Linked DNA regions of Xenopus tropicalis. The protein of the gene in region 1 interacts with the protein of each later gene in a pairwise test. Links are inferred from orthologs where the notes say so. Each region holds a gene or a part of one and is shown on either strand. Other genes may lie near its edges.

Region 1 (4,868 bases):
TAGGGAAAGCTGACCGAAATACAAAGGGGAGCAGCTGCTAAAACAAATAAATAAATGTACATTATAGTAAATCTGAGGTATATTATAGCAAGTCTATAGGTAGCACAACGTGATTTGGTAATTTAAGTCGGTTTGCTTGACTGAATATAATTTGATATGTTTCTCTTCTTAATGGAGCAGCACTTTTCCCCTTGCCTTACTTTCTTCCTTTGTGCCAGCTCAGCAATGTGCTGCAAAGTGAGCAGGCGAGAGAGAGGCAGCCGCACAGTGTGGTAAACAAGTGTGGAACTGTCAATCACAAGCAGACTCCAGCAGGAGAGGACCGGCCTGAACCGGTGCGAGCAGAACCTCAGCCAGTCCCTCATATGCATAGCTATTACGTAGCTCAGCCGCAGAGAGCGCAGCCTAACCCATGTCTCCGCCCACCTCCTCCCCCCGCCCCCAGCTTCCGGGTGTACAGGAGACCACGCTGGATTCTTGCTGAGAGCGGTACTACGTGTGTAGCCAGCACTAGCAATGCCCAGAGCGGTACTACGTGTGTAGCCAGCACTAGCAATGCCCAGAGCGGTACTACGTGTGTAGCCAGCACTACCAATGCCCAGAGCGGTACTACGTGTGTAGCCAGCACTAGCAATGCCCAGAGCGGTACTACGTGTGTAGCCAGCACTACCAATGCCCAGAGCGGTACTACGTGTGTAGCCAGCACTAGCAATGCCCAGAGCGATACTACGTGTGTAGCCAGCACTAGCAATGCTTAGGACCGGTATAATAAATGGCTTACACAGCTGTAAGCACTGCTCCCTAGCATAGTATAAAGCATTATGTGATGAAAGTATCTCTCTGGAGACCAGTGGGCTGCTAATGAACTATAAGTCACCCTGTAAGTATAGAGCATAAGGATAAGGCTCAATCACACGCACGCCTATTCCACACACAGTCCCTGCAACACAATAAAGGCAGCTGCGCTAATAAAGCCATGAGCTTGATACTCTATCACCGCCCCCTGCTCTAGCGCCAGCGGACTAGCAGCGTCAGGGAAGGCTAAAACGTCACGGGCACGCCCATCTCACTCCACCTGTTCCCTGGCGCCCTAAGCAACAAGGCCAGCCAATCGCATTCAGCGGCCGTTGTCTTGACAACAGCCTAACAAACTGCTCTGGGCCAATCGAATGCGAGTTGGGCGCGGCACTGATTTCCTTCCTCCTCCCTCACCAAGCAAGCTAGTGTGGCGCTGCACCTAACTGTAACTGTTAACCTGTAAGTTGCTGAGGTAGAATGGCACAGCTCGCAGCACACTACAATGAAACAATGCCTTGGGCGCTTTGCTAGTCACTGTGTGAGGCTGGACACCTGTTGGTGCATTACTGAGCTCTGAGACCGGCTTACTTAGCGCCTAGTAGCATTGTGCAGTAGAGCCTGCCAGTACTCTGGCTCCTTACACTGTTCCACTAATACACAGCACATACTTTATTTTCCTACGAGCCCTTACTGACCTGGAATTGAGAGCCCAACCCTGTGTATTGCATGGAGTCCGGCAACGTTCACTTGCTCAGTGACAGCACCTCTATACCACTAAGTCATGGAGGCTAGCACCACATATTGTACAGAGAGCCGCTCACTTCTTGCCCAAACACTGCCCTCAGCACTACTCTAGCACTACTCATTGCAATGCAGCACTGGCAAGTAACGCTGCCTTGGAATGGTATCACCGGGCAGCCATATAGAGTTGCAAGCCATTCATGGAACAGCAATGCCAGCTCCTTAGCGTGATACTAACGTTATGAGGTGCAATAACGATGGAAAATATAGACATTTGTACTGAATGAAGGTGCAAAGGATGCGCCATGCATGAGTGGGGTGGGTACCCACATATCGCCCAGCAGGGATTGAGGGGTACACTGCTGTTATTCAGTGCTTCTTTCCTTTGGAAGCGATTCAGCCTGCTCACCACCTGACTCCCCATCAGCCAATCCCGTGCAAGCAGCGCAGCTCCCCCCTCCCACTCACTTCTCTCTCCACTGACACCACTAGCCGAAAACAGGATTGAACCGCTTCTAACAAAGGGTGGTGTAAACTTCAGAAAAACAAGATGATTCCTTCACTTCCCCCACCCTGCTCGCAATGACTCTTCAACTCTCCCCATGCCCCCCCCCCCATGCCCAATCACCCCCATATTCACTGGGCTCCCCAACAGGCTGCCCGGGCTCTGCGGCACACACCTTCCAGTTAGGCTGGCGAGCTGGGCACAGCCATGGGAGCCCACAGCAGCTGTATATACAGCCACACAATGCAAACAAATGGGCAATGACCGTTCCATAAGTTCAATAACAAAGCACTATGCTGATGCTGTAGAACTACAACTCCCAAGCCCCTCAGCTAAATATAAAGGCTACAACTTCACACAAATAAATGGCTGCCTGACTGATAACCAATACACCCCAATATCAGGTACCCCCAGCACCCCATAAAAGCCCCAGCATCCTTACCTCTCTCATGCCCAATCAGGATGTCTTTATGACTGAAATACTCCACTTCTTCAGTATAATTCTGGGTATAGGCAGTGTTGGAGCCAGCGTTCCTTGATTCCGTCCATCTGACTTTTGCATGCCCCCTGGCATGGATCCTCAGGGATTTCACCCGAATTTCCCCCGTCACTTCCAGATTGACCCTTCCTGAGACTGCATCCCCGCTGGAATAGACGGGGACGTGGCTGCCATTGAGGCAGTCAAAGCTTATGGTCAAACTCTTCACCTTCCCCAGCACCATGATTGTAAAAGGGGGCTATAAAAATATTCTGGGGGGGAGACAAAAGTTTCCGATTTCACATCAATGGCGATGTTGCCAGAGCACTGGAGTATGCATTTGCCGTGCAGAGACTGCAGGCAGGCTCAGTGCTCGCCCAGCGGCCAGCTCATCGGGAAGAACAGGTAGGAGAAGTAACAGCAGCAGCTGCTGTCACAGTGCTCTCTTCTATGGTCTCTTTACAAAGACGCCTGTCTGCAGTGTGCCGGCTCACTTATGTGCGGCTTTGGGAAAAACAAGCTCTCTGCGCATGCGCGCCCCTCTGCCACTCTTCCCTCACTCACTCACTCTCCGCTAGCCCTCTAATATAGGGTTCTCTTATTCAAGAGACAACTTCGTAGGTCAGGACGTGTCCTTTTAGTTCCTATTCCTTTGTTTATGCATCCAACGTAGGCAGCTACATCCGAAAGGTAAACGGGTGATTTGTGAGGCCTTTGGGAAACATCAAAAAGTGTTGGAGTGATGCAGTCGGTGCGGTGCTGCAGTCACTTCTGAAGCATTCTGATCCTGTGCCCCTTCCCAGGGCTTATATAGGGAATCGTTTCCCCCTCCATTGGAAAATATAAGGAAGTGAATATTCCGAGGTCAACGTTGCCTCTAATTCCGTCTTTGCCCCATCATCATAATAAATATGTGTATAACTGAAACTTATTGTTCACTGACGTTTACCCTTCCTCCCTTCACTGCTACCACACGAATATTTGTGCTTCAAGTTCCAGCACAATGTATAATGTGTATATACAGTGGATATAAAAAGTCTACACACCCCTGGTAAAATGTCAGGTTCCTGTGCTGTACAACAATGAGACAAAGATAAATCATTTTAGAAATTTTTCCACCTTTAATGTGCCCTATAAACTGTACCACTCAATTGAAAAACAAACAAATCTTTTAGGGGGAGGGAAGAAAACCAAAAAAACTAAAATAATGTGGTTGCATAAGTGTGCACACCCATAAACTAATACTTTGTTAAAGCACCTTTTGATTTTATTGCAGCACTCAGTCTTTTTGGGTATGAGTCTATCAGCATGGCACGTTTTGACTTGCAAGATTTGCCCACTCTTCTTTGCAGAAACACTCCAAATCTGTCAGATTGCAAGGGCATCTCCTGTGCACAGCCCTCTTCAGATCAACCCACAGATTTTCAATCGGATTCAGGTCTGGGCTCTGGCTGGGCCATTCCAAAACTTTAATCTTCCGGTGAAGCCATTCCTTTGTTGATTTGGATGTATGCTTTGGGTCGTTGTCATGCTGAAAGATGAAGTTCCTCCTCATGTTCAGCTTTCTAGCAGAAGCCTGAGGGTTTTGTGCCAATATTGACTGGTATTTGGAACTGTTCATAATTCCCTCTATCTTAACTAAGGCCCCAGTTCCAGCTGAAGAAAAACAGCCCCATGATGCTGCCACCACCATGCTTCACTGTGGGTATGGTGTTCTTTTGGTGATGTGCAGTATTGTTTTTGTCCCAAACATATTTTTTGGAATTATGGCCAAAAAGTTCAACCTTGGTTTCATCAGACCATAACACCTTTTCCCACATGCTTTTGGGAGACTTCAGATGTGTTTTTGCAAAATGTAGCCTGACTTGGATGTTTTTCTTCGTAAGAAAAGAAATACGGGAGATTGTTGTCACATGTACCACACAGCCAGTACTTGCCAAATATTCTTGCAGCTCCTTTAATGTTGCTGTAGGCCTCTTGGTAGCCTCCCTGACCAGTTTTCTTCTCGTCTTTTCATCAATTTTGGAGGGACGTCCAGTTCTTGGTAATTCACTGTTGTGCCATATTTCTCCCTTTGATGATGACTGTCTTCACTGTGTTCCATGGTATATCTAATGCCTTGGAAATTCTTCTGTACCTTCTCCTGACTGATATCATTTAACAATGAGATCCCTCTGATGCTTTGGAAGCTCTCTGTGGACCATGGCTTTTGCTGTGGGATGCGACTAAAAAAATGTCAGGAAAGATCAACTAGAGCAGCTGAACTTTATTTGGGGTTAATCAGAGGCACTTTAAATGATGGCAGGTGTATGCTGACTCCTATTTAACATGATTTTGTAATGTGAT
Region 2 (2,926 bases), on another chromosome or scaffold:
ACCTCTACTTTCAACTTGGAAGTATAATTTGTATGTCCTCCTATACTGTTAACCACTATAGTTTGTTAAGAGGTGAGAATGGTGAGAGCTACAAATTCTAATATATGTAGCAAAATACCAAAATGCATTAAATCCATGTTTAATAACTGAATCATTGTTTTAGTGCAGTTTTACAATACTCAGGAGTTTTCCTTAAGCAAAATATGTTACTTGTATCGTTATACTAATGTGCTAAATTCTTAGACCCATTCAGAAAAATTGTTAGTCAAAAAAGTACCAAAGGAAATTGTCAAAAGAAAAACTAAACAGAGCAAGCCCTTGTGACCATTTCTGTTTTGCTTTTACTTTACTTACAGTTTCATAGTGGTGCTTAAACAAGTGTTCTTGAAATCCAGCCATTACCACTTCACTCTTACTCTGGACCACAAGATGTTTAAATCTGAAGAAAATAAAGTAGAAAGTACAACTGTGATTTTAGACATGACTTGGTCACAAACAAACCCCTCAGTATGTTAGTTGCCTGAACCTTTCTCTTGCCCTTAATTAGCACTATTATAAAATTGCTTATTTCAGACTGTATATTAAAGCTACATGTATTAAAGAGACATATATTACTTTTTTCTCTTCTGAGAAGTGCTCCCAGGTAATTCTTAAATTAAGCCAATAAACCGCTTTCCCCTGCTCATAAAGTGGGTAATGTAATTAAAGTCTAGTCATCCCTAGCAGATGTCATATCAGATATTTGTCAATTGGTTCATATGGGTCACTAGATCTGGTTCAAACTTTTATTACATTGATCCCTTTATTGGGAATTCCACGACCTTGAGTGGCTTATGACATACACAGAGTTATGTTTTGTGCTTTATCAAATAAAAGCAATGAACTCAACACTAAATCGTGCTATCTACGCAATAAACCAAATGTTGTACACACCTAAGAATTTCTTGCTGTTTGCCCAGTAGAAATTCCAGGTAAGCAAAGCAAAGTCCTCTGTAAAAACAGCTCCCATCTGCCCGTGTCTTCCTTACGCTGTGGTACTGGTTTTGTAGATCCTGTGTTTTTAAAATAATTACAAATGTTTTAATGGTGCAATTCAACTATGTTTTGGATTTACAAATCCATGGTGATGGTGCCATAGCCTTTAATGTATACCCTTTTAAACAAACAAGCATACCAGATCCACCAAGCAGCCAACTGCATAGAGCTCTGTAAAAAGAAAACTGCCAATGAAGTACAGGTATAGGACCCATTATCCAGAATGCTCAGGACCAAGGGTATTCCGGATAAGGGGTCTTTCCGTAATTTGGATCTCCATACCTTACGTCTACAAAAAAATCAATTAAACATTAATTAAACCCAATAGGATTGTTTTGCACCCAATAAGGATTATTTATATCTTTGTTGGGATCAAATACACGGTTCTGTTTTATTATTACAGAGAAAAAGGAAAATAGTTTTAAAATTCTGAATTATTTGATTAAAATGGGGTCTATGGGAGACGGGCTTTCCGTAATTCGGAGCTTTCTGGATAGCGGGTTTCTGGATAAGGGATCCCATACCTGTACTACAGGTATGGGACTTGTTATCTACTAAAAAAAATATAAATATTTGTTAAACCAAATACAATTGTTTTAGCTCCAATACGTATTCATTATATCTTAGTTGCGGTCAAAATGGTGAAAAAATGGTTTTAAAAATGTTAATTATTTTATTAAAATAAAGTCCATGGGACCTGGCCGCCTGGTAATTCAGAGATTTCTGGATAATGGCTTTCTAGATAACGGATTCTATACCTGTACTGCATCAAGCATAAAAGTTTATGTATGAACAAAGAAAAACCCCAAAGAGCCTGCATGTACAGACAGACAGGGAGATAATAAAAAAGCAACTTGATTATTTTCAGAAATGGTTTTTGTAATATAGTTTTCCTTTTAAACTTGGTATGGTTTTAAAATTATTCTTTTATTTTCTTTTGTTATTGGTCACCTTTCAATTAAGGCCCTTAATGAGTAATGTTCTCTTATGTCTATGAAGATTCTCATTCATCCAGGTCATGATATACAGTATCTAGTAGAATTAAGTCTAAAACAACTGGACTGGAGTTTTTCTTGAAAACGTTTCACCACTCATCCGAGTGGCTTCTTCAGTTCAAATGACTGGTAGGGAATTCCCCGGTATTTAAACTCTTGATGGTAGTAGAGTCACAGACATCCAATCACAATGGTTCCATTGAACTTGTTCAGTTAGGTGTTAGCTGAAACTGACAGGTATAAGAAGGTATGATCCAATCACAATGGTACCAAGATTCTCATTGATGAAGGTGTTAATCCTTCAAAGTACATGACTGGAAGTGTGAACTGTTGTGAAACTGCCGGGGTAAGGATGTCAACGCGCCATTGTATGTTGGTGACAAGCGGTGTCTCAGGCCCCCTCCTCTGTTCAGGGATGGTTTTTCCAGGTTGGCATAAATGGCCTCTTTCACACCTCTTTCAAACCATCTGTCCTCTCGGTCCAAAATATGCACGTTACTGTCCTCAAAAGAGTGACCTTTTTCTTTGAGGTGTAGATAGACCGCTGAGTCAATGGAACCATTGTGATTGGATGTCTGTGACTCTACTACCATCAAGAGTTTAAATACCGGGGAATTCCCTACCAGTCATTTGAACTGAAGAAGCCACTCGGATGAGTGGTGAAACGTTTTCAAGAAAAACTCAGAAAAGTCCAGTTGTTTTAGACTTAATTCTACTAGATAATGTTCTCTTATGACTTCCAAGCTACTGCCTGGTTGATCGGGTTATTAAACCTAGCAAAAAAACAAAGTTATAACGCAGAGAATGAAAAATATAAATATTTTAAAAAAATACTATTAAAAATAAAGAGTAACTGCAAATTTCAGTATATGCCTTCATTCTACTCGTAATAAAAT
Region 3 (4,914 bases), on another chromosome or scaffold:
CTGCTTCAGCTGTAATGCACAGGTTATACAACCTTGGTGGTCAATGGTAACCTCATATATTTTTCAACAAATGAGTCCTGGAGCTCCGTGACCTGCTTAGTGAGTAATGCAATACTTATATTCATTACAGAATCAATGAGAAATTACACAATTTTTATTATACAGTCGGAATGGTCTAAATCCGGTTTCAGTTTAAGATTTGGCCAAACCACAGCATTTTTTTTGCAGGATTTAGCCAAATCCTACATGCCAAACCAAGTCTGCGCATTTCAGTCACATGGACAACTGTACATGACAATTGTCTTTTTCAGAGATTATGCAGTTTCTTTAAAATTCATATGAATTATAAAAATGTAATGTTTCAGTTCAGTATTAAAGGAACAGTAACACTAAAAAATTAAAGAGCTTTAAAGTAATAAAAATATAATACACTGTTGCCCTGCACTGGTAAAACTGGTGTGTTTGCTACAGTAACACTACTATAATTTATATAATAAGCTGCTGTGTAGCCACAGGGGCAGCCAATAAAGCTGGAAAAAAGGAGAAAAGGCACAGGTTACATAGCAGATAACAGATAAGCTCTGTAAAATACAATAGTGTTTTATCTGTTATCTGCTATGTGCCTGTGCCTTTTCTCCTTTGAATGGCTGCCCCCATGGCTAGATAGCAGCTTATTTATATAAATTATAGTAGACTTTCTGAAGTAAACACACAACTTTTACCAGTGCAGGGCAGCAGCACATTATATTTTAGTTACTTTTATACACTTTCATTTTTTGGTGTTACTGTTCCTTTAAGTCAAGTTTTGTGTTGGATAAAGTACAGGTATGGGACCCATTATCCAGAATGCTCGGGACGTGGGGTTTTCTGGATAAGGGGTCTGTAATTCAGATCTCCTACCTTAAGTCTGCTAATAAAATTATTTAAACAGTAATTAAACCCAATAGGATTATTTTGTATCCAATAAGGATTAATTATGTCTTAGTTGGGATCAAGTACAAGGTTCTGTTTTATTACTACTGAGAAAAAGGAAATCATTTTTAAAAATGTGAATTATTTGATTAAAATTGGGTCTATGGGAGATGGCCTTTTCCTAATTTGGAACTTTCTGGATAATGGGTTTCCAGATAAGGGGTCTGATACCTGTACCAGGCAAATCCAAAAATAATGGATTCTGTGCATCCCTTCAACACAGCAAAAGTATGAACAGGGAGGACAAACATTTCAATATTGAGTTCTATGATGCATAAGAGGAAGGAGCCCATAGTTTACAATGGGTAGATAACATACAGACACAAAGGTTTGGGAATTGGCCCTTAATTGTTCTAGAACTCAAAATGGTAGAATCAGAGTTTCTTTTTGAAGAGGTTGAGAGACTGCCTCTTACGGAGCATTTCATGGATGAAAATACAGAAGTAAGGATCAGAAGCAGAGAAAGGTTATAAAATGAGATATGGAAGTGGATGTGGATATTATGTAAAGGCAGTGGCTCTGAATGAAACAGATGAGCCAGACAGAGAAAAGAATGGGGAAATGTAACACAGGTTAAATGATCAGCAGAAGATGTGTAAACTATTGTTTAATTAAAGGAACAGTAACACCAAATGATGAAAGTAATTATAATATAATATAAAGTTGCCCTGCACTGGAAACACTAATCTGTTTGCTTTAGAAACTCTACTATATTTATATAAATACCCTGCTGTGTAGCCATGGGGGCAGCCATTCAAGCTCGAAAAAAGACACAGGTTACATAGTAAATAACAAATAGGTCCTGTAGAATACAATTATGTTTTATCTGTTATCTGCTACATGATTTATGTCTTTTCTCCTTTTTTCCAGCTTGAATGGCTGCCCCTATGTCACATTTTATTTGAATTACTTTAAAACATTTTCATTTTTTGGTTTAACAGTTCCTTGTTTAAAGCGATACTGACATGTTCCTATGAAAATCCATAGGAACATATCAGTATTACTAAAACATTGCAGCACAAAAATATGTCCAGCCAAAGGACTGCCAAAGCCCAGCAGTACCTAGCTGTCAAGAAAGGGAAAGTGAATAAAAGAAGAGGTGCTATTTTCTTGGGTCATGCTGGACTGGGGTCAGCACAATCCTTTCATAGGTTAATAAGAAATAAAGCTAGTTCTTCAGCCTATGGAAGGATTACATTGCCTTAAGCCCAGTGTTAATGACACAACTACAGAGCATCCTTTAGCTATGTCAGATTGTGGGCTCAGGTAAGTATAGCTGAGCTAGGGATGTCTTTGGGGGAATTTTAGCTAGAAGGTATTTGGTGCAAAAACTCTTTAATAATACTTACACATTCTAATTATTTTTTATAGGAACATGTCAGTATAGCTCTACTAGGCTGCCAAGATAAAAAATTTTAACTGAGGGCAAGGTGGAATCTAGCAGCTGAGTTTAAAACAATGGAGAAAAAGGTGTGAGTCTGGGATGTATGTATGTATATTTTTATGTATAAAGCGCTACTTATGTACGCAGAGCTGTACAGTAGTGTACGCAGCGCTGGGATGGCACGATGCGTGTTTTAGCAGTTGCTTGAGAAAGAAAATCAGGGAACATGACAGTATTTTTAAGACGAAAGCAGAAGATTTTGGCAGTAGCATTAAAACAATCTGAGGATTAAAATGGTTAAAGATAAGTTCCAGGCAGCATGCTCAATTAACAATATTAATAAGCATGCCATCAAAGGTAATGCTAAAGAGATGAGACAGGCCAGATTTGGATGGCTAGACTACAGGATCCGTTTTTGTGAGGTTTATTTTGAGGTGGCACAGATTTATCCAGAAGGGAATACCTAGGAGTCAGCCAGAGATCTGGGTCTGCATGTCAGTGCTTCCTGGAAGGGTTTCTTAATATATCCTTATGTTAAATCGTTTTCCTTAACAGAGAGTGTACATGGCAAACAACATAATGATTGTGTCAGAGTTTTATAAGCTAGTGTAACAAGACCACTAACATAACTAGGAACCTTGTCACATATTTATGTTTTCGGTACAACACTGCGCACTGTTATGGCTTCTTGCCCTCCCACCACAATCCCAGTTCTCTCCTGAAATACAAAGTGCCCTCGAGCTATCGCCAATACACCGCTAGCAAAGTGTTTCAGTCTGCTGTCATATTCTCATTATTACACGAACACCATTACTAGGAACCTCCCCCAAACAAAGCAAACGTTCTCTGTACTTTAAATGTGTATTCCCCATCCCCTCACAATGTAAATCCAATCAATAACAAACAGCATAATATCTCTCTGCCTGCTTTATTCTTCCCCACTCTTCCAAATCAAATCTGTTTTACTGTCGCCGACCCTATGCTGTTCCGCCAAATTCTTTTATTTGTATTTACCTGCTACACCACTCTCTTCTTCACTTCCGCCTTCAGCACTTTCGGTCATGTGACCATTGGCCTTGTCACGTGACCCGGAAGAAAGTTTAGGTAGCACCGGATGCAGGAGGTGTTGGCGTTCTGTAGTGAGCTGCCATTTTACTATGGGGACGATATCCCGTGGGTTCTTAGCAACAATCTCTCTTTATCGTTCTTATTTCTCGGCACGCTAAAAGGCGTGAGGGACGTTTATATTCAATTAGTGAGTTACGGGAAGTGTCAGTTTTGCTATTGTGCGTACTCTAAGCACCGTTCCGCATTGTTTGTCTTATATTCTACTGTACTGGAAATGCAAAGCGATACAATTAAAGAATTTGTGTGAATTTTTTTCTACCTCGTTAAAAGATTTTTTGCATGGTCTGTAACCAATTGTGGTGTTGCTGCTTCTGGGATACAATGCTATGTTCTCTATTCTTTTAATATGTTTCCATATTGGTGACATTAGCAGCAAGTCTTATTTTTAGCAGCTGGGACGGCCAGGCGGCAGCCCCACCAACAATTCCCTATAAATAAGTGGACAGAAGATAATAACTAAGCTCGGATCTGCAACTGCCCGTTCATTGTTGATTTTTTAATGGATACCGTTGTTCCCCCCCCCGGTTGAAACATAGATATATTAATTTTTCTGGCATTACTATACTATGCATGCAGTGGCCCAGGGCAGCAGAGGAAGCTGTGGGGCATTAAATAAAAGATGATTGCACAGCACTCTAGTGGAGATTACCTTGGACCTATGTTAGAGTTTGTTCCCAAAGATGTTCAATGTATTGTCATTTTGCTGGAAGCTGTACTACTTTCCTCTCCCCTTTTTTCTTTCATTTATTCCACACATCTCTTGCTTTATATATTATGTATTGTTTAGAAAAAAAGTAGGGGGAACAACAGTTACTATATATATATATATATAATTTTATATGTAGCAAGAAGACAGGCACTCTCGTAAAAGTAGGTCCAAAGGAGCCTGGGTGCAGTTCCAAAATAATAGATGGAGTAGCTGTAGAGAGAGTCCGCACTCACAGGTCTTACAGAAAATATAGAGGTTTTATTCAAATCAACATCTAACGTTTCGGCTGCATCCACAGCCTTTCTCAAAGTCTTTGAGAAAGGCTGTGGATGCAGCCGAAACGTTAGATGTTGATTTGAATAAAACCTCTATATTTTCTGTAAGACCTGTGAGTGCGGACTCTCTCTACAGCTACTCTTTATATATATATACACATACACAAGGAAGAGTGGAGCACACCCTATAAAAGTTCAAATGCCCTGGGTGCTGGCTGGTTTGGCCTTTTGGTTTGTCCCTGAGGAAGAGTACAGTTAGTACTCTAAATGTTGGATTTTTTTGAATAAAATTTTTTCACTTTATCGTTAAGTCCTTGTGTGCGGCTCTCTGTCTATATATATATATATATATATATATATATATATATATAGTTTAAATATGAAGAATTCAAATCAGAATAGCAGAAGGGGAAAAGGCAGAGAAGATAATGAATAGAAAGGTGGTG
Region 4 (4,241 bases), on another chromosome or scaffold:
ATTCTGGTCTTTTCAGTCCTTACGCTTATGGCATGGGGCATCATAAAGGCTAATAAAGAGTTAATCTCAAGCTGCAGGCATACCTTCAGTTCTCTCAGTAGTGCCCTTAAGTCTCCCCATATTATCCCCATATAGCAAGGGTTAACAGGTAACAGGCTGTTTACTGCAAGGGCATCAGTGTCCTTTGTGCTTTATAGCTTAAAAAAGTATGGATTTTTGCTAATGAAAAGAACAGGTGGGATAGATTTTCAGTATATGTTCTCTTTATATAGCTCATGTATGTATGTTTGTGTGTGTACTGCCCCTTTAACTATTTCGTTTTTCAGACCCCAGTTATATGTTGGGTTGTTCTTATTTTCTAGGGCAAAATGGATCATGCCTTACAGCTGCTTCAGAGCATTGATCCAACAGATCCCAAGCCTGACTCTTCTGCTCTTCTGGATTTAGAAGGTATGGATAAGAGGAGTGCCCAGTGCTTACTCACAGATATGTAACTGACTGTATAGTTTGGGCTTCTGAGGCCGCCTCAGCCTTTTAGCAGTAAAACTTGGTACTAAAGTCGGCCCCCAAATGCTTCCCATTTCATGCAGCATAGAAATCAGTGCAGTCTATGTCACATTTAATTAATAACCAGCCCCGTAGTTTAGATAATTTCCAACGACCCCTAATCTTAGCTTCTCGGCGGCAGCCCAGAGCTTACTGAGCATGTGCAGTGCCACTGGCACACAAAAGACAACCTAAGGGGAAGTTTCTTTGTGCAACTTGGACCATTACTGTTATAGGTCTGGACCATTACTGTTATAGGTCTGTTCAGGGTCGGACTGGGCCGCCAGGACACCGGGAAAAATGCCGGTGGGCCCTGTCCGACCCTTTCCGGCGCTCCCCCTGCCCGACTGTTCCTCCCCTGACGCGTTAATTTTATATGCGCTCGGGGAGGACGTCTGGTAGGGGCCCTGCGGTGGGGGGGAGTTAGTGGGGCCCCTGGGGGGGTTAGGGGGACACGGCCGGCGGGGGCATCTGCAGGGCCCCTGGGGCGGGAGCCCCTGTGGGCCCTGCACCCCCCAGTTCGACCCTGGGTCTGTTCAACCTTTGGTACAGGCTTCTTACACACAGCAGACAGGGTCCATCCCTGTATTCAAGTTTGCCTTTTGGCACAGTTAAGAAATTCCTCCCTATGCTGCAGTTGCTTAGTGCACAATAGGACTGAGGCTCATTTGTTTGTCCATCACTGTTAAACTGGCCATACACTATAGGGCTAGGTAGCTAAATGAGCAGGCCTTTTTCCCCAATAAGCCCACCTCTGGGGCAATATCCTGCTAATCTGATCATGAATACGAACTATCAGGTGAGTGAGGATTGCATTGATAAGCCAATGCGGTTTCCAACTGGAAGATGAAACCTGCCCGATCAATATCTGCCTGATTTTCTGCCACATATTGATCAGGTAGGCGAAGTGGAGGGCCCCATACACAGACAGAGAATGTAGAATCGGTCTGAAGGGTGTGAATTGGCTGCCTCTTAAATCTGCCCATGTATAAGCTGCTACGAATTGGCAAAGGGCAAGATGATCTTTGCCCCCCATGCAACACCCCAGGTGCCAACGTCATACATATGGTCTGGTCATGTTCCCCTATAATGAGATTTAGAAGGACATAATGGAGAACCTGGCCCTGGAACTGTGCACTCCTCAAATAGTTGACCACGTGGTCTGCTTACTGGGGGTTATTGATGATGTAGTACCTACCAGCGCAACCAGAATTTGGCTCCATACACTTTTGTTTTATGGCAAAAAGACAGTGATTATGCATTGGATGGGGAGTAACCGGCCCTCCCTGAATGTGTGGAGTCAGTTAGTGGATAGAGCACTCTCACTCATGAAACTTATATATGAAACACGTGGGGCTGTAGAGGATATGGGGAGATTGGTGTAATCCCCTTTTTAAAAAAAAAAAAAAAAAAAAAAAATCTGCTCATGTATGGCCACCTTTAGTCTGACCCTAACTGGCAATCTGTAGATTCTGGCAAATGCCACAGTGGCTGCTGTTGATGAGGGTGGGGCTTTTTGGGCCTCTGTTTACGTGAATTGCCAGGGCCTGTACTGACTCTTAATCTGAACCTGCTGTTAGTATGGATATGGATGAATAAATACTCTTACAGAATGCAGCTGAGCTTCCAGTAACATCAGAGACTTCACACTGTTCATATTGTGTACGGCTATTATATGGCAAGCACATATTGTATCCCAGTGCAGCCCTAACACATTATTTATCTCCGATAAATAAGGGCACCTTTCTTTTCTTTTACCTAGCAACAACCAGTACTTGGCTGAAAATGAATTTCAAAAGAAAATTAACATCTTGCAATGTAGCTCTGCTTAGAAAATGATCATCAGATGTTTCTCTGGTCAGTTCTAAGCAGAGCCACTGTCACAACATGTTAATTTTCTACGGGCTGGGTCCAGTCAAAATGAACAGCAGGTGGCGCTGTTGCTTCAGATTCACTCTTTTCACAGTGTTAAAATATGAGAACTTACTGCATTTGTAATCATCACACATTAGGAAATTGCTTCTCACCAAGTCTTATTTTTAACTCGTGCAGACGTCTGCCAGCAGATGGGCCCCATGATCGACGATAGGTTACAAGAGATTGACAGGTGAGTTCATGCAGACATATGGTCAGTGTACTGCCTCAATGATATGGAGGGAATGCTTTTACCGAGGGCAATCAATATCTGAATGTTTTCATGTGCCTTACGCTATAAGTTTAATGTTATCTTCTATTTGGATAATTACCTTTTTTCCCCCAATCAGGAAACATTCCGAGCTCTCAGAACTAAATGTGAAAGTAATGGAGGCCGTAGAGTTATACAATAAGTTAATGAATGAAGCTCCTATGTATTCTGTGTATAACAAGCCCCAGGCACAGGGTCATTACCCTGCTGGGGTATCTATGCAGGTGAGTGCTTCTTTCTTCTGCCAATTATTTACACCCAGCTGTGCCCATACAGCTGCCAGTCAAGATATGGGGCGTAATACCACCAAGTGGGGGGCACCAAGCAGCCAGTCCTGGGGTATTTAATATTAGAGCTTGGGGCTGTGTAATTTGACTAGCTGTATGTAGAAAGCAGTACAGCAGCACTTTGCTTTAATATGATTAAACCTTTCACGAAGAATTGATCTATAGTTCCAAAAATAGATGCCATTTGTGATGCCAATATTTTCTATCTAATGCAGAGGTTTTCCTTTATGATGCAGAGTTAGGGCAGGGAAAGGAGAGGAAGGCTCCATTCTGGTCTCTTTGTTATCTGCTATAGAGAGGGGGAGAGCTTTGATCTCTTTTCCTGTGTGAGCGCTTTGATACTGTCTAGAGAGACATCTGATGGAGAAAGAGCTGGAAATGGGTTCTCTACAGTTGGCCATGTGATACTGAAAAAGGATTAAAGGGGAACAGTCATCTCAATAGGGCCTTATACTGTGTTATTCATGCCTGCATCCGTCACATACTGACTGTAGTACAGAAAGGAACGTTATACTAAATCATAATGAAAAGGATAGACAAAATAAAGGCCCCCCCGGCTGCTGATTTGCCACCCAACCAAGAAATACTGAGCGCATTCAGGCAGCCATGATATGGATGGGACCTAGGGCCCTTACCTGCCTGCAGACAGCCATGATAAGGATGGGACTTAGGGCCATTACCTGTCTTCAGACAGCCATGATTTGGATGGGACTTAGGGCCATTACCTGCCTGCAGACAGCCGTGATAAGGATGGGACTTAGGGCCATTACCTGTCTTCAGATAGCCATGATTTGGATGGGACTTAGGGCCCTTACCTGCCTTCAGACAGCCATTATAAGGATGGGACTTGGGGCCATTACCTGTCTTCAGACAGCCATGATAAGGATAGGACTTAGGGCCCTTACCTGCCTTCAGACAGCCATTATAAGGATGGGACTTAGGGCCATTACCTGTCTTCAGACAGCCATGATAAGGATGGGACTTAGGGCCATTACCTGTCTTCAGACAGCCATGATAAGGATGGGACTTAGGGCCCTTACCTGCCTTCAGACAGCCATTATAAGGATGGGACTTAGGGCCATTACCTGCCTTCAGACAGCCATTATAAGGATGGGACTTAGGGTCATTACCTGTCTTCAGACAGCCATGATAAGGATGGGACTTAGGGCCCTTACCTGCCTGCAGACAGCCATGATTTGGATGGGACTTAGGGCCCTTACCTG
Region 5 (4,241 bases), about 23 Mb from region 1:
TTTCCCGATATCACCCACCCGTAGGTTGGCGACTTTGCCAAGCAAGCGAATCTTAACGTGTATGGCCAGCTTAACTCTGTAGCACTTCATGCACAGTCAGGTAACCCTAGCGTTTCTGGCTGTCTGACCGTCAGAGAGTGCTCTTGTGCCCAAAGCCTCTTACTTGCAGTCTCAAACTTGAACCACTAAAGGAGAAAATGCAGCTTTGTTAGACTCTCGCTGGGAGTTTGCCAAGAAGAGGTTGTACAAGGACAGCTGTTCTGCCTGCCCAGTTTTGGGCCATTTCCCTATAAGTAAAAGTCTGCAGATAAATCCTTTACGGTGATTAAAATTATAGCACGGCATTCCAAGGGCAGATAAATCAGCCTTGTTACGTATCGCTTCTCCAATCCACCAGTCACATAAGGACGGTGCAGGGTGCGGGGAGTTGTTTGAGACCAATCCATGGAACAATCTTTAGCATTTGTTGTGCCTACAATTGTTCTGCACACACAGTTGGATATAAAGCATTCTCAGAGCGATTCTGTTTGTGTGCCCCCGTCTGAGTGCTGCTTTCTAGCAGTCATTAGCCGATTTGCCAGCTTATTGGACCTCATCATTTCCAATTCTTCCATTAGTGCTTATCAGCCCTGTAGAGCCCTTCAGTAAGCATTAGGGGAATGATAGCTCTTCCCCACGCTGGGAACAGTGCCCAATCCTTATTATTGCTAACAGGCACCGTGCCTTTGATGTGGATTTACAGATTAGCCCTCACCGTGGCACAATAACTCCCAATTACAGTAATGGGTGCCCCAGTGCATTGTGGTAAAAAATGTAGGTGCCTTTCCCCCGTGCCTGTGTTCCATGTATTTCTGCTTGTTGCTGTTTGTCACCTCTTCTAATGTTTCCCTTTTTGCTGTTCTGCGTCCCTTTAGGTTTCTTCATTAGACCATTCTATAAGATGATGCTGGGGAAACAAATAACGCTGAAAGACATGGAGTCAGTGGTAAGTTGTCTGGGCGCCATATTCTTTGCCAAACCTCCCTGTGGTTAAATTATTGTAGGCTAATACTATTATTTCATATTAATATTGTCTATAATAATAATAAGCTGTGACCCCCAAGCTTCATTGTTTCCTGGCAGGAAGATACTCAGTACTGATAATGCCCCATATGTAATAAATGGCACTTTGTTTGCCCAGGAGCAGTAACCAGTAGCAACCAATTAGATGATTGCTTTTTAACAGTTGACCAGTAAATGCTTCCTGCTGATTGGTTGCTATGGGTTACTGCTCCTGGGCACACTTAGTGCCATTTATTACATAACCCCCATATTCTCCAATCAAGTCAAGATTTCTCCTGCACGTTACTCGCTGCCATCGCCAGGATACTGCGTGGCTAATAATTACTGTGCATCTTGTTTTTATAGGACAGTGAATACTACAATTCCTTAAAATGGATCTTAGAAAACGACCCAACCGAGCTGGATCTCAGGTTTTGCATAGATGAAGAAAACTTCGGTCAGGTGGGTACCAGCCCAAGTTATTCAGCTGAAATCATGGCTGTCATTTTATTGCATGTTTGAGAAGGTTTCACATATAAAATCAGTCGCCCATAGCAACCTGCAGGTAAGTACAGGTAGGTGAGTCTTGCCTCAACATACCAAACATGGCTGTCCATTATAACGCCATTATGGGGGTGTAAAACAATCACCCAACCTGTGAAACCCTAGTGTAATCTGGTAATTATCAATAAACTGAATTAATCATAGAGTTATCAGAGTCAGATTAATGAGTAAGGGCCAGCAACAGGTTATCCAAGGGTCCAAATTTCTCCTGTGTGTGGCCCAAAAACACAGTACCAAAGCCCCCGATGTGAATCACCTGCAAGCTCCTGTGCAAACTTATTTCACGAAACAGTTGCCTGCCTGCCGGGTTTCCTAGGAATTATGGGAGGTCATTCGTGCTGGGCAAATTTTGGCCTGTGGGCAGTAACCCATGGCAACCAATCAAAGTGTTGCATTCATCGTTCTACCTGATGCTGTTTTAAAAAAAGCCAATTACTGTTTGGTTGCTTTAGGATACTGCCCAGGGGCTAATTTGCCCAGTATTGATAAATGAGCCCATATGGTCTTCCACTGATTCAGCTCTGTCCTTAACGCCAGCTACCAATAGAGCGGGCTTCCAATATACTTAGCTTGGCTGCTGTAAATAGCTGTATAGTCATTCTGCTAGAAATGCCCCTCCCGTTATATATGAATGAATGAATAATCTTTATTGTCATTATCACTTGGACAACGAAATTGCAAAACAATCAACTCAAAGCAATGCAAAAGCACTATACAAAAATAACACACCATATATATAGCATATACATTAATATTTATATACATTTATACTTATCCCCAATCTTGTAGGTTGGCCTAATCATTGGGCATAAGCCAGTGGCCAACATAAATGTACCAATATGCCTAATGGCCAGATTTAGTTCCAATAATATCTAGGGCTGCAAATACATTTTCACCCACAAATCTCATCCCAGTTGACATTCAAGCTGGGCTTTCAGGTGTATCAATAGGAGCGAATAAACAAACCCCCAAATCTTATTGGCCTTTAGACTGAGCACCTACTGCTTTAAGTTCCCACAGTTTGGGAATCATTGTATTATGGGGATGAAAGTAGTAAAAAAAATAAGTTTGATTGATGTCTTGGTTACTATGGTGATAAGGATGTCGTAGCGTATGTATAAAGCCGTGTAAATAGCAGTGGTCCCATTGATTGGTGTAAATACGGGATGGGTGTAAATATGGCGCCATACTTTATATGTTTTATTTATTTTCACTTTACTAATGGAATATAGAATTGTATGAACTGCTGCTTGATAAATATGGGATCCATTTGAAACTTACGGTTCTTCCACTATAAAATTCATTTCCCCTTAATAACGAGGCCGGCGGTGCATTTATACTAACGAAGACCCATTTGCTTGTTCTGTAGACGTATCAGGTGGATCTGAAGCCCAATGGATCTGAGATGGTCGTGACCAATGACAACAAGCGAGAGTACATTGAGTAGGTTCTGTTCTTCATCTCTTCTCGGTGTTTCATTCACATTTGCCTGAATGTAATTCATTGGTTTTGCTTTCCCAAAACTTACAGACATCAATTCAAAGTTCAGTTATTGCTCTGATCATAAAGGGGTTGTTCACCTTTAAATAAACGTTTAGTATGATGTAGACATTAATATTCTGACACAATTTGCAGTTGGTCTTCATTTTTATATTTTTAGTGATTTTACAGGTATTTAACTTTTGTTCAGCAGCTTTCAAGCTTGGTATTTCAGCAGCAGTCTAGTTGCTAGGATCTTATTTGCCTTAGCGACCAGGCAGTTGTTTGAATAAGAGACAGGAATACGAATAGAAGAAGAACCAAATCAGAAGATAAGTAATAAAAAGTAACAATAACAATAAAACTGGAGCCTCACAGAGCAATAGTTTTTGGCTGCCGGGGTCAGTGACCCCCATTTGAAAGCTGGAAAGAAGCAGAAAAGGGAAGGCAAATATTCTTAAACTATAAAAAATAAATAATGAAGACCAGTGCAAAGTTGCCAGGAATAGGGCATTCTATAACATACAGACCCCCATATGTAATAAAAGGCACTAAATTTGCCCAGTAGCAGTAACCCGTAGCAACCAATAAGACATTTGCTTATAAACAGGTGACCAGTAAATTCTACCTGCTTATTGGTTGCTATGGGTTACTGCTCTTGGGCAAACTTAGTGCCATTTATTACATAACCCCATACGAGTTAACTAAGGGTTTCCCTAGTAAATAGGTTTTAGTCCCTTATTGGGAGGAACAAGAAGCACAATAGAAAGTGGATAGAAGCACAGCTGTACCTTGCAAATCTGTATATATATACATTTATACATACATTTATACATTCATACATACACAGACGCGCGTTAGACAATGGCGAGTGATGTCTATTGATAAAATCAGGGCTGTGCGCTGACATTTCAGACGCATTAGATGTGATTTTTCCCTTCCCATAAACAAAGGCACGCCAGCTGCTTATTTACCATTCTGTTATTTTTAGTCACGGTTTGAGTCATGAAGAGAACAGGCAGCGCATTATTCCTGTTCCTATTATTCCTGCAGATGCTTTAAATCTCAAGTTATATAAAATTCTGGGGAAAGTTGATAAGTAGAGGGAGAGACGGGCAGGGAGCAACTTCTCCTTTGTTCTGTCTGTGCCAAGCCCC

The links.
Region 2: the proteins of arrdc3 (region 1) and otub2 interact in binary tests that used the Homo sapiens proteins (3 or more experiments, as listed by UniProt). The two-hybrid records come from large-scale screens. The link is inferred for Xenopus tropicalis from reciprocal best matches to the Homo sapiens genes ARRDC3 and OTUB2.
Region 3: the proteins of arrdc3 (region 1) and wwp2 interact in binary tests that used the Homo sapiens proteins (3 or more experiments, as listed by UniProt). The link is inferred for Xenopus tropicalis from reciprocal best matches to the Homo sapiens genes ARRDC3 and WWP2.
Region 4: the proteins of arrdc3 (region 1) and stam2 interact in binary tests that used the Homo sapiens proteins (3 or more experiments, as listed by UniProt). The two-hybrid records come from large-scale screens. The link is inferred for Xenopus tropicalis from reciprocal best matches to the Homo sapiens genes ARRDC3 and STAM2.
Region 5: the proteins of arrdc3 (region 1) and nedd4l interact in binary tests that used the Homo sapiens proteins (3 or more experiments, as listed by UniProt). The link is inferred for Xenopus tropicalis from reciprocal best matches to the Homo sapiens genes ARRDC3 and NEDD4L.

The regions. Positions count from the first base shown.
Region 1 is NC_030677.2:178,685,750-178,690,617, reverse strand, and holds the start of arrdc3 (arrestin domain-containing protein 3), read right to left. Parts: upstream 2,956-4,868; 5' UTR 2,767-2,955; coding exon 2,487-2,766; intron 872-2,486; exon of another isoform or gene 201-871; intron 1-200. UniProt on the Homo sapiens protein: Adapter protein that plays a role in regulating cell-surface expression of adrenergic receptors and probably also other G protein-coupled receptors.
Region 2 is NC_030684.2:88,165,089-88,168,014, reverse strand, and holds part of otub2 (ubiquitin thioesterase OTUB2), read right to left. Parts: intron 1,053-2,926; coding exon 934-1,052; intron 440-933; coding exon 355-439; intron 1-354. UniProt on the Homo sapiens protein: Hydrolase that can remove conjugated ubiquitin from proteins in vitro and may therefore play an important regulatory role at the level of protein turnover by preventing degradation.
Region 3 is NC_030680.2:60,922,368-60,927,281, forward strand, and holds the start of wwp2 (NEDD4-like E3 ubiquitin-protein ligase WWP2), read right to left. Parts: upstream 3,410-4,914; 5' UTR 3,371-3,409; intron 1-3,370. UniProt on the Homo sapiens protein: E3 ubiquitin-protein ligase which accepts ubiquitin from an E2 ubiquitin-conjugating enzyme in the form of a thioester and then directly transfers the ubiquitin to targeted substrates.
Region 4 is NC_030685.2:75,892,544-75,896,784, forward strand, and holds part of stam2 (signal transducing adapter molecule 2), read left to right. Parts: intron 1-362; coding exon 363-450; intron 451-2,598; coding exon 2,599-2,653; intron 2,654-2,810; coding exon 2,811-2,955; intron 2,956-4,241.
Region 5 is NC_030677.2:201,737,034-201,741,274, reverse strand, and holds part of nedd4l (E3 ubiquitin-protein ligase NEDD4-like), read left to right. Parts: intron 1-914; coding exon 915-985; intron 986-1,407; coding exon 1,408-1,503; intron 1,504-2,974; coding exon 2,975-3,048; intron 3,049-4,241. UniProt on the Homo sapiens protein: E3 ubiquitin-protein ligase that mediates the polyubiquitination of lysine and cysteine residues on target proteins and is thereby implicated in the regulation of various signaling pathways including autophagy, innate immunity or DNA repair.